3 linked regions of the Canis lupus familiaris genome follow. The protein of the gene in region 1 purifies or fractionates together with the protein of each later gene. This does not show direct contact. Links are inferred from orthologs where the notes say so. Each region holds a gene or a part of one and is shown in the gene's direction. Other genes may lie near its edges.

Region 1 (4,221 bases):
AACCCATGCATTCATTTATAAAATGTATGAATGAATAAATGAATTTTGCTTACTTCAGAAGTTGTTCTAAGAGTTTCCAGGCAACACATAAGTGAATTCCATTTATTAATCCATTCCCCAAATATTTACTAAGCACCCACTACGTGTCATGTATTCATCTAGAGGCTGGAGATAGAGTAGTGAACAAAAAAGACCTCCAAATTACCAACTTGAGAAATATTTTTTTTTTCCAGAGCCTCTAACACACTCTGCCTGTATCTCCCAAGAATAAAGGTATAAATGTAGCTTTCTTTTTGCAAAGACCACAGCAGCCAGGCTCTTGTCCCAGCTCTTCCATCCCTTGACAATATGATCTTGGGAAAAAAACCACATTTAATTCTCCAACCTCCTGGAGGTTTATGGTCTTCTTCCCTCTAATCCCTTACCTTTCAGTCTATAAGTCTAGATAAAATGGTTTTAATGAAACAGTTCCCTTGAAATTCACTGGAAACTTCATTTTTGAATGATAATCCTTTAGAAATTTAGCCATCATAACATATTATGTGTAGAGTAGAATACCAAAAAAATCCAAAAACAAAACCAAAAAAACCCCTCCAGAACCTGGATGAGCTGCATCTGGGGCAGCTCTTCAGGGAAGCTCAAGCTTGGGGAGACAGGAAACTCTAAAAGGTGCAACCATGAAAGGCTATGGTTTTCATTTATGTCCCCAGGTCTGGAAGCAGCCAGAGGTGACACAGACATCCTCACGGTCATTGGGACTCTGGGGGAGTCGGTTACTTTTCCCTTAAATATCCAAGAATCACAGCAAGTCATCAACATTGTTTGGAACTCTGAAACGTCCGTTGCTTTTGTAACACCGGGAGACTCAGAAACAGCACCCAAAGTGACTGTGACCCACCAAAATTACAACGACCGAATAAATGTCTCACGTCAGAACTACAACCTGGAGATCAGCAATCTGAGGATGGAAGACTCAGGCATCTACAAAGCCGACATAAATACAAAGATCCTTGAAGGGATGGTCACCACCACCAGGCGCTACAACCTTCAAGTCTTCCGTAAGTTGTGGGAGGATAAAGGGCTTGGCTTGTTTTGCAAATTTGCTCTCTATAGAACACCTTGATTTCTTTATTGGCTTCCCTAAACCTTTCCGTACTTATAAATACTTCTATAAATACATCAATACCCACAAGGAGGAGGTGATTTTGCTTGTTTTTAGCCATGTAATCTTCAATCAGCAGGTTCTCCCGTGGGCCTGGTTTTTCTTTTCAATAAAATGTGAATAATCATATTATTCACTTCCCATAGTGGGGATCAAGTGAGATAGCATATGGAGAGTTTCTCTAGAAAAACCCTTATTTTAAAATAAGTGTGGATGCACAGAGAGGTGTGAAGAGCCATGCCGGGAGGTGCTGCGTCCACTTCACCCAGCCTCCGCCGGCGGTAACATCTTACGTAACTGTAGTTCGATACCAAAACCTGGAAGTTGACATTGGGGTACCTGGAGCTTATTCAGGGGTCATCAGCTGTCTGGGTGCTCATTTATGTGCGTAGAAGTGTAGTGTGTACAGTTTATTAACATGTGTGCCCTACTGTAACCACTACTGCAATCAAAATCCTGATCTGAACCATTGCAGCAAGATGCCCTCAGCCATTCCTCGCCACCCATGTCCTCCTCAACCCCTAGAAGACGTTAATCCCTCCTTCATACCCAGCAGTACGTTATTTCACAAAGGCCGCGTACATGCACTCAAGCAATATGCGTGCTTTTGAGATCGGCTTTTTTCACGCAGCATAATTTATTTGAGAGTCATCCCAATTATTGCAAGTATCAGTAGTTCGTATCTTTTTATTGCTGGATAGTATTCCACGGTACAGATGTACTGGTCTGTTTAACCACTCACCGATCAAGGGATATTTTAGTTGTTTCCAGTTCAGGGCTAGTATAAATAAAGCTGCTATGCACATTCACGTACAAGTTTCAGCATAAAATAAGTTTTTGTTCCTCCAAGATAAATACCCAAGAATGAAAACATGGTAAATCTATTTTCCTTTTTGTTCTTTAAAAAATGTTTTTATTGAGGGGCGCCTGGGTGGCTTAGTTGGTTAAGCATCTGCCTTCAGCTCAGGTCTTGCATGATCCTGGGGTCCTGGGATGGAGCCCTGCGTTGGGCTCCCTGCTCAGCAGGAAGTCTGCTTCTCCCTCTCCTTGTGCCCTTTCCTCCGCTCATGCTCTCTCTTGCTTGCTCATTCTCTCTTTCAAGTAAATAAATAAAATCTTAAAAAATATATATTATTGTGATAGAATATACGTAACACAACATTTATTTATTTTTACATAACACAGCATTTAACAATTTAACCACTTTTTAAAAGATGTATTACTAATTTGAGAGAGACACAGAGTGTATGTGAGTGGGTGGAGGGGCAGAAGGGGAGGGAGAGAGGGAGAAGCAGAGTCCCCACTGAGCCCAGAGCCCCAAGCCGGGCTCAGTCCCAGGACCTCGAGATCATGACCTGAGTGGAAATCAAGAGTCAGATGCTTAACTGACTCAGCCCCCCAGGCGCCCTTGCTCTCATCTCTTTATATGTTCAGTTGTACTCACTCAATTTCTGGGAGGTGTTATACCGTCTGCAGTTAGAGCGGACCACGGGGAAGTCTCAGAGAAGGCCGGATTTCCCACATGACAAAATCTGTACCTTTTGGGTAGTTAGTGGAGAAGATAGTGAGAAGGGAGGGGATCCCTGGATGGCTCAGTGGTTGGGCGTCTGCCTTCCGCCCAGGGCATGGTCCTGGGGACTTGGAATCAAGTCCCACGTCGGGCTCCCTGCATGGAGCCTGCTTCTCCCTCTGCCTGTGTCTCTGCCTCTCTCTGTGTCTCTCATGAATAAATAAATAAAATCTTAAAAAAAAAAAAAAAGACAGAGAGAGAGAGAGAGAAGGGAACTGACATTTGTTGAACTCCATGTTTCTGTCATCCTAGCACCTAATTTAAGAAAATAGAAAGATCACACATGCTTAGGCAATACATGCACCGAGTAAAAGACATCGCAACTCCCCCTTCTCAGGGACAGTCCTTGTTGCTGGCTTCTTTTGTCTTTCCCGTAGATAATTAATGTGGCCAGATAGATGATCGATGATAGATGGATAGATAGGTGATAGACGGATGGATGGATGGATGGGTGTTAGAGTGTTCTGTAAACCCAATACCTCAGTTAGTCTTCACAACGAACAACCCCAGCAGGAGACAATTATCCTTGTGTCATAACTGTTGGAGCCAAACCTCAGCGAAGCTGTTTGCATCCCCGTTCTGGGAGCAGCGGAGGCTGGTTGGACCCAGGTGTCCAGTGGCTTCCCCGCTCAGCCCTGCCCCGCCCTTCTCTGCTCAGCAGCCTGATGCAGGTAACATCCCTGTTCCTGCTGAGAAAATGAGATGGGATCCTATTCTTAATAGGAATTAATAGGAACTATCCCCCACTTCAATGCCCAGCAAAAAAAGAATTTCTCTAAAAAATCAGTAAATATCAAGCTGAGACTTGAACATTCTAGTAAATCAAGTTTCTAAAGAAATGTGTGCGTGCACACACCTGCACACACCTGCACGCATGCACGCACGCACACACACGTTGGCTCATATTTTGCTGTGGAGCTCCTCAAGGTGACACCAAACTTCTTTGAAAAAAATTTTTTTTCTCACAAGTCCTCATTAATTCTGGTCTGGAATAGATCCCTCTACGAGACTTGTAGGACCAGGGTTTCTGGTGAGGCTGGAATGGAAAACATGTACAGCTTCTTCCTTACCGTATGCCACTTCCTCAGAGGCACGGACAACTTTAAAAATACCCCATGAACTAGAAAGCCACATGCTGGTTCCTTCTGCACCCTTCCCACATGGCTTTGGTAGGAGGAACAAAGCCCAGCACAGCAGCCTGGTCAAGGCTGAACTAAATTTACCAAGTCTGAATGGGCCCTTTTTTCTTATCTGCTGGTAGAGAGAAGATCTTCCCCTTCCTTCTGCCTGCCTCAGATAGCTCTCCCTCCATCCTAAATATAATTGTTCTTCCATAACCCTTTCTAGCCTACAACTTGGACAGTTTACCTTTTGATTACTTTAGTAAAAATATTTTTTTGATGAACTTTTTTTTTTAATTTTATTTATTTGAGAGAGAGAGCATGAGCAGGGGGAGAGGCAGAGGCAGAGGGAGAAGCAGACTCCCCGA
Region 2 (4,272 bases), on another chromosome or scaffold:
CCAAATGCTGAAAGGTAGGTCCTGTACATCAAAGGGCATAAACAAGTCCACATAAAGACAAAGCACCGGGATCCCTGGGTGGTGCAGCGGTTTGGCGCCTGCCTTTGGCCCAGGGCGGGCGATCCGGGAGACCCTGGATCGAATCCCACATCGGGCTCCCGGTGCACGGAGCCTGCTTCTCCCTCTGCCTATGTCTCTGCCTCTCTCTCTCTCTCTGTGTGTGACTATCATAAATAAATAAAAATTTAAAAAAAAAAAAAGACAAAGCACCAATGAAATGATGCTTTCTCTCATCGAAAGCTCATCAAATAAAAAAAAAATGGAACGTCTTCACACATAGACTGATTTTTGTTCGTCAATCAGCACTCTGGGATCTTGGCCAAGAAAGTAGGAAAAATCAGTGTTTACTCAGGATCAAGATTGCTCAAGATGACTAGGAAGAGTAGAAAAGGAGACTTGCCCCATGTTGGTTTTTCACTGACTACTTCTGATTGTGTAGGAGCCTCTGGCTGTGCTCAGGAATGACTGCACACTGATAGTTCTGGTAGTTTCTGTGTTTTGGTCTCAGAGCTTTAGGTTCTTTCATTCTCTGTCAGCATGTTTCTGCCCCACAAGAAGGCCATGTACACCTTGCCTCTATCATCAACCCTTTTGGGAACTTAGTTAAGCTAAGTCATCTCTGGTGGCCCCTGGGAAAACTGTAAGAGTGGAAGCATTAGCAAGCATTCCTGTCTGTGTGCCAGAGTCTGCCCTGGTAGTACAGTCCATATCTTGCCAGGACATTCTTCCAATTGACCTCCCTTCTCCTTCCGAACCCTGTGTGTAGGGTGGGGTAGGGTAGGGCGGGGAGGGGGATTGAACCTTGTGGCAATAACCAAGCTTCTAAATTGCTGAGCTGGTTTTAATTGAAGTGTGAGAAGGAGGTTTTAAGGCAGAGAGACAACATCCTGTTGTTCGGGTTCGGGTGCTCCTCTCTCTTTTTCTGCACATCTGGCTGAACTGGGAGTCAGGTGGCTGACTCCGGGCCCGGTTGCAGCAGCAGTGGCATCTGCCCTCCACTGTCCCACGCCTCAGCGGCCCAAGAGTCCACCAGGCCATGGACGCGGTAGCCGTGTACCATGGCAAAATCAGCCGGGAGACCGGGGAGAAGCTCCTGCTTGCCACGGGGCTGGATGGCAGCTATTTGCTGAGAGACAGCGAGAGCGTCCCTGGCGTGTACTGCCTGTGTGTGCTGTGAGTATGTCGCGGTGGCCGCAGGCTCCAGGCCCCATGAGGGCACCGGCCGGGGGTGCAGGCTCATGTGAGGCGTTGAGGCCTCCTCCACGGCTCATGTGACGGCGCCAAGGCCTTCCCACGGTCCAGCTTAGGGGGTCGTGCTTTGAGGCCCCTCATGGGGCTTTCACTCCCAGGGCCTTCACTCTCCAGAAGGGCCTCCCTGGGTCTTTTGTGGCAGCTGCAGAGAATGCCCTTTGGGGTGGGGAAACGCAGCCTAGAATCTACCTTTGCTCTGAGAAAGATCCAGGCTCCCAACTTCCAGTTTTGACCTTTAGTCGAGGCCAGCTAGGTGGAGCCTTGGCATGGTGGACTGGCCAAAACTGGGGCCACCAGCTCCTGAGGAAAGGAAAGACCTCTCTCCAGATCCCTTTAAATGGAATTGGAGGTGTCCTCCCAAAGGAAACCATCACATTCTGGGAGAGGAAGAAGACTGAGAAACGGAATCCGTGACTTTAGGAGTGCAATTCTGGTTAGGTCGGGGTGCCAATCGGGGTATTTGTAAGTGAAACTGCCTCTTGGCATCTGCTTACTTCGCTTCTTTGAGAGAAGCTGTGTGTGGGGGCAGAGAGTTTCAGAGGTAGGACCCTTCTTGATAAAAAGCTAGGACTGACAGTAGTGGTAAAGGGCATGGAGGGAAAACACCCTTGTTATGATTCAGCTTTGCCGCTTGCCTAGGCATGCCTTAGTCTAACACCCATTTTAAATCAGATGTACCTTCATCTTTGCCTCAAGGGCTCCGAGTCAGGGAGATCTGAGACCTAATCCTGTGCTAGTCTGATGGCAGGCTTGTGACCTTGGCAAGTTGAACTCTCAGTCCTTCAGTTTTCTTGTCCATAAAATGAGTATAATAATACGACCTACCTCATAGGATGGCGAGGATCAAATGCAGGTAAAGAATTTAACACTGGACTTGACACATCATAAATGTCCAGTAAATGTAAGCTATTATCATTATTATTGTATTTTTCTCCAGTTGAGTTCTTTCAGTACTCATGGCACATTTCCAAGGAAGGACCTAGCTTGATCACTTTGTGTCACATGTGAAACACCTGTGCTGTGTAGTCGGTTCTAGTCAGAAACAAAATGAAGGAAAATGCTTGGTAGTAATTTTGATACCTAATGATACACTGCAAGATTGTGAAGTACTTTTTGGGTCCGTGAAAAAAGATCATGCTGAGGCTGTTATTAGATGATTTTCGTTTATTTTGTTTATTTATTTTTTTAACATGGTCAGGCCAAGTTTGTGGCAACTCTCAGGCCTTGCTAAGTACATTTATTATAAAGACTTCAAGAGAACATGTGGAAGCACTTGACTCTCTTGGGCTCGGATCTTTTTTTTCCTTTTGCAGTACAGTTGTCATACAGCGTTATATTAGTTTCCAGTGTACAGCATAGTGATTTGACAGTTCTACACACTACAAAATGCTCACCACGGCAAGTGTAGTCACCATTTGTCACCATACAAAGTTATTACAGTGTTGTTGATTATATCCCCTAGGTTATACCCTTCATCTTTGTGACTTATTTATTTTATAACCAGGAGTGGGGTGAGGTGGGGCGGCGGGGGTACAGATTGAACCTGTGTCAATAACCAAGCTTCTAAATTGCTGAGCTTGTTTTAATTGAAGTGTGAGAAGGTACTAGAAATTTGGACCTCTTAATTCCCTTCACCTATTTTGCCCATCCCCTCACCATCCCTCTCCCCTCTGGCAACCACCAGTTTGTTCTCTCTCTGTATTTAAGAGTATGTTTGTTTATTTTCTTTTTTAGATTCTGCATGTAAGTGAAATCATAAGATATGATATCATATGGTATTTGTCTTTCTCTGACTGACTTATTTCACTAGTCTCTAGCTTCACCCATGTCATTGCAAATGGCAGGATTTCATTTTTATGGCTGAGTAATATTCCTTTCTATATATTATACCACCTCTTCTTTATCCATTCATCTGTTTTTTAAAAATAACTTGTGTTTTTTTGTTTTTGTTTTTAAAGATTTTTATTTATTTATTCATGAGAGACACAGAGAGAGGGAGGCAGAAACACAGGCAGAGGGAGAAGTAGGCTCCTTGCAGGGAGCCTGATGCGGGACTTGATCCCAGGACTCCAGGATCACATCCTGAGCTGAAGGCAGGCCCTAAACCACTGAGCCACCCAGGGATCCCTCCATTCATCTGTTGACGGACACTTGGATTGCTTCCATATCTTGGCTATTGTAAATAATAGTGCAATAAACATAGGGTGCATGTATTTTTTTGAGTTAGTGTTTTTGTTTTCTTGGTGTCAATGCCCAGTAGTAGAATTACTGGATCATGGTATTTCTATTCCAACTTTTTTAAGGAACCTCCACATTGTTTTTTTTTTAAAAGACTTTATTTATTCATGAGAGACACAGACAAAGAGAGAGACAGAGACACAGGCAGAGGGAGAAGCAGGCTCCATGCAGAGAGCCTGATGTAGGGACTCGATCCCGGGACTCCAGGATCATGCCCTGAGCCGAAGGCAGGCTCTAAACCACTGAGCTATCCAGGGATCCCTCCACACTGTTTTCCATAGTTGTTGCACCAATTTACAGTCCTACCAAAAGTGCAAGAGGGTTCCCTTTTCTCCACATCCTTGCTGACACTTGTTACTTATTGTCTTTTTGATACTAGTCTTGGGCTCAGATCTTTATGATTTGCTTACGTTATTTTTTTCCCAAGTGGAAACTTGGGAAGGTCAGTGAAAGCCGCCTAGTATTCTTGGGCTCTTTTCATTCAAAAGAATGTGGTGGAAGGAGTGGGCAAGTGAAAGGGGCTTCTTTAGAGAGGCTGACAAAGGGGCTAATCAGCCCCTTAGCCTAGAGGCAAAAAAAGGAAGCCTGAGCAGGGGAGTAAGATGAGACAGTATGGCAAGATGCACCTAAAGACTCAGTCATGCTGGCCCCTTTGTTGTTTCTCAAACCTGCCAGCTGTGCTCTCTTCCCAGCATCTTTAGACTTTATTACTTTTGCCTCTTG
Region 3 (4,321 bases), about 1.5 Mb from region 1:
TTAAATTAAAAAAAATAAAATATTGGATTATAGATATGCTTACATGGCTTATTCTGTCTGAAATTAATTAATTACTTAATTAATAATAAGTAGACAGTTTGGTTGCTCAGAAAGGCCTTAGAGGAAACAAGGAGATGTTGTTCAAAGGGTATAAACTTCCAGTTACAAGATGAATAAGTTCTAGGGAATCTAATGTACAGCATGGTGATTACGGTTAATAATACTATATTGTATAATTGAAAGTTGTTAAGAGAGTGGATATTAAGTGTTCTCACCACAAAAAGGAAATGGTATTTACGGGACAAGATGGAGGTGTTGGTAGTGGTGTGGTGGTAATCATTTTGCAACGTATAAATGTATCAAAGCAATGCATTGTACACCCTAAACTCACACAATGTTATATGTCAATTATCCCTCAATAAAGCTGAGGGGGAAAAGGCCTTAGAAATTAGTCTTTTGTAAGAGGTGGGGCACGTAGGTTGCATCTGTTGGTTAAGCATCTGACTCTTGGTTCAGCTCAGGTTGTGATCTCAGGGTCATGAGATGGAGCCCTGCGTTGGCTCCTCCCTCAGTGTGGTATCTGCTTGGGATTCTCTCTCCCTCTCCCTCTGCACTTTCTGCACATGCTCTTTCTCTCTCTCTCTTTCTCAAATAAATAAATCTTAAGAAAATTACTCTTAGGGCTAACTCTGACCTTCAGATGACAGAAGGCCCCTTTCCCAAGTATATCATCTAATCAAGGTAGAAAAGGCTCAGAAAGAAAAGAAGGAAGGAAGGGAGGAAGGAAGGAAGGAAGGAAGGAAGGAAGGAAGGAAGGAAGGAAGGAAGGAAGGAAGGAAGGAAGGGAGGGAGGAAGGAAGGGAGGAAAGAAGAAAGAAAAAAGGGTTTCTCATCAATACCAGCCTGTCTAAAGAGGGCTCAGTGTCTCTGCTGGATAAACTTTTCTTGGTCTTTCTTCCTGGTCTTCACATCACTGTGGTCCTCCAAAATGGAAGTTTCAAAGTCTCAAGGATAGTCAACCAAGGTTACTATATTCTTTTCTTCCACCTAGAGATGCATCCCTGAACTAATTGTGCCTACTCAGATGTCCCTCCCACCTGCACCAGCTCCTTCCCCAGAAAGCATAATGCTGGAAAATGTCCACAGCAGCCTTTCTTCATCAATGGCTAGGAGGCTCAACCAGGGACGGGCTGTCCCCCCCCCACCGTGTTCAATTGCTTTCCATTCCCACTGACATCTTCCATTTTTCATGCATTTGACCCGTGCACATCCTACTCAACTGTTCCATTACATCTGGACGTACCTGGGCTCATTCAGCGTCTGAACACTTTTTGAGCACCTGTTACGATCCTAGCCTAGCATTATCATAGGCAGCTTCAGCAGGAAATAGGCATCTGTCACAGCAAAAGGTAGCGGCGTGCTCCCTGAAAGGAACATCGGCAGCCAGAGAGGGTGAAAATGGGTGATCTAGGGTGTTATACAGGGTTGCAACCCACTTCTAGGGAGCTCAGCTTCAGCACCGCAGCCCCAGACATGAAACATCACCGAGTAGACTGTACTCAACCTGCTTTCACATACTTCTGAGTCACACTACGGTCACTTAAGGCTGAAGTGTGTGGTCACTTCATCACCCCACCCCTCTCATTTCCTGAATCTTGTGAAACTGTTTTGAGTCCTGCAGAGCCGCCTCGTCTCACTCCTACCAGCTGGCGGAAGAATCGCCTCCAGACCCCGTGAGGCCCCTTCCTCCAGTTCCATCCTTGGAGCTGACCCGGGGCTTGGGCATGGATTACAGGGATATCCGAAGGCTCCCCACGGATCTGCCCTATTACCATGGCCCTCTGTCCAAGAAAGACTGTGAGACCCTGCTGCTCAAGGATGGGATAGATGGCAACTTCCTGCTAAGGGACAGCGAGTCTTTGCCAGGAGTTCTGTGCCTCTGCGTCTCGTGAGTAGTTTTATCTTTCACACCTCAGAACCTTACCCTGAATGCGGTGCTGATACAGCCAAATACCAAAGAAATTGCATTTCACTCTGCCCTTGTGGCCCAAATGAGCAGAACGTGAACAAGGTGGGCAGTGCTTAAAGAGCCTGCAAGGAGAGTGTCTGTCCCAGGTCCTCCACCTGCCCTTCTCTCCCTGGTGCAAATGCCACCCCAGCAGCCCCTCTGCAGCAGCAGGGGTGGGGGTGGCAGTGAAGGGAAGGGCTGCGGAGACCTGGAGGAGAGGTGGATACAGGGAAGGTGTATAGAGGATGGCTTATTTGCTCTGGAAAAGGCTAGATGTCCTTTATGAAATTTTAATCTGAGAGACTTGAGTGTTCACATTTTTCTGCGGGCTCCACTTGGGATACTTAAAATACGATTTCAAATTTTGTTAAGGTTGGTACAGAGCCTCAGCATGCATCATATCCTTTCGTCCTTCCTATAGCCTATCAAGGCCAGCATGAGCATTTTCTAGGTGAAGAATCAGAGACCCTGATTTCTCAACCAAGTTGCTCATATTAAAAAAATTCTCCTGGCATTTCCAAAGAGTTCAGCATGAAATTCTAGTAGCTCGCCTGCTGAAGGAGCTTGTTAGTCCCGTTAAGGAAACAATCCTGGACAGGTATTCATGGGAACCTACTATCTTAAAATGTTCTGTTTAGAGAGATCACTGAAATTTTTCTTCTAGCAACTAGAGGAATAAAAACCCAAATGTGTCTACGCATATGCATTAGTGTTTCTGAGTGTGAGGACAAAAGAGATTTAATACTGACGAAATAGCAGAGATCTCTTTTTTTTTCCTTATATGATACCAAGGATGCAGGTAAAAGAAAGGTAGCCTTAAGAGGGTTAGCAGTTTGAATTCTCACTCTCAGGGATGAAGAGAAAGTTTACACGTATTTTTTAGCCACTGGTAATTCCTCTTTTGAGAATTGCACAGTCACCTTCTTCACCCATTTTTAGCTTGAGTTGTTTCTCTTCTGTTTACTGTTTTTTTGTTTTTCCTCCTAGTTTCTATTTAGGAAGGTAAAATATTTTTTTTTCCTAAGGACACGGACACAAAAGAAAACTATAGACCAATTTCAATTAAGATCCATTTTCAATAAACTGCTAACAAAACAGGAGCCAGTAACACATTAAGGAAGAAAATACACTAAGTTCAAGTTTGGTCCATTCCAAGAAGTCAAGGACGGTTCCACATTGGGTAAATTAGTAGCTTAATTACATATTAGTAGATCAAAGTTGACAAACTGCATAACTCACTCAAATGTGCTTAAAAGGTATTAGATAAAATTCAACATTCATCCCTTAATACACACACATACACATGCACACATGTACTTACATATTCTTAGTGATGCAAGATTAATTAAATATTATCTAATTAATATCTAATTATCTTAATTTCTTAATATTTGCTGCTAAAATAATGAATGAGCCAATGACACTCATTACCAACACTACTATGGAGCATTTTCTGAGAGATATGGGCAAGTGTTATTAGCCAAAGGAAATCAACGTAAAATTGAAAAGAAAGACACAAAATTATTATTATTTGCAGTTGACATGACTTCATCCCTGTGAAATCTAAGATTTAATTGAAAAAACCCTAAAAAGCAAATTTAAGAAAATTCAATAACAGTATCTGCTTATAAAATTGAAATCAAAATCATAGCTTCTTAATTAAGAAAAAAAAATAGCTAGAAAAAAAAATAAAAGTAACCAGGAAGAAAAAAAAAGTAACCAGGAAGAAAATATGATAAAACAGGTAATTTACATTAGTAAAAATAAAAATAAAAATAAAATAATAATAATAATACCCAGGGTTAAATGTGATGTGAAATGTGGAAGGTGGAAGATCTGTCTGAGAAAACTTCAGAATCTACTGAGGAATTCACTAGAAGATGTACATCAAATCAGAGACTCAATTTAGAAGCATATCAGCTTACCATAATTAATCTATAAATCTGGTATGTTTCCAGTAAAAAAAAATCAACAGAATTTTTAAAGTTTTCTTCAAGAATCATAAAATGCATTCAGGTGGGATGTGGAATGCAGGAAACTTGCTAGAATAGCCAAAAAAGTTTTTTATTTAAAAAAGGGGACTAGAGGCACCTGGCTGGCTTAGTCAGGGGAACATCTGACTCTTGATCTCGGGGGTTGTGGGTGTGGAGACTACTTAAAAATAAAATCTTAAGAAAAGGGAGGAACTAGCTCTAGCAAATATTTAAAAACATTGTAAAATGACTGATTTCTACAGTAATTGAGTGTTTGGTACTGAGGCTCCTGGCTGACTCAGCTGGAGGAGCGTGTGATTCTTGATCTTGAGGTCATCAG

The links.
Region 2: the proteins of CD84 (region 1) and SH2D1A purify together in Homo sapiens (affinity purification with western blotting; 4 studies listed by BioGRID and IntAct, with this or other methods). This does not show direct contact. The link is inferred for Canis lupus familiaris from reciprocal best matches to the Homo sapiens genes CD84 and SH2D1A.
Region 3: the proteins of CD84 (region 1) and SH2D1B purify together in Homo sapiens (affinity purification with western blotting; 3 studies listed by BioGRID and IntAct, with this or other methods). This does not show direct contact. The link is inferred for Canis lupus familiaris from reciprocal best matches to the Homo sapiens genes CD84 and SH2D1B.

The regions. Positions count from the first base shown.
Region 1 is NC_049259.1:22,540,721-22,544,941, forward strand, and holds part of CD84 (SLAM family member 5), read left to right. Parts: intron 1-710; coding exon 711-1,058; intron 1,059-2,606; exon of another isoform or gene 2,607-2,850; intron 2,851-4,221. UniProt on the Homo sapiens protein: Self-ligand receptor of the signaling lymphocytic activation molecule (SLAM) family.
Region 2 is NC_049260.1:96,500,833-96,505,104, forward strand, and holds the start of SH2D1A (SH2 domain-containing protein 1A), read left to right. Parts: upstream 1-899; 5' UTR 900-1,096; coding exon 1,097-1,233; intron 1,234-4,272.
Region 3 is NC_049259.1:21,004,274-21,008,594, forward strand, and holds the start of SH2D1B (SH2 domain-containing protein 1B), read left to right. Parts: upstream 1-1,663; 5' UTR 1,664-1,784; coding exon 1,785-1,948; intron 1,949-4,321. UniProt on the Homo sapiens protein: Cytoplasmic adapter regulating receptors of the signaling lymphocytic activation molecule (SLAM) family such as CD84, SLAMF1, LY9 and CD244. In SLAM signaling seems to cooperate with SH2D1A/SAP.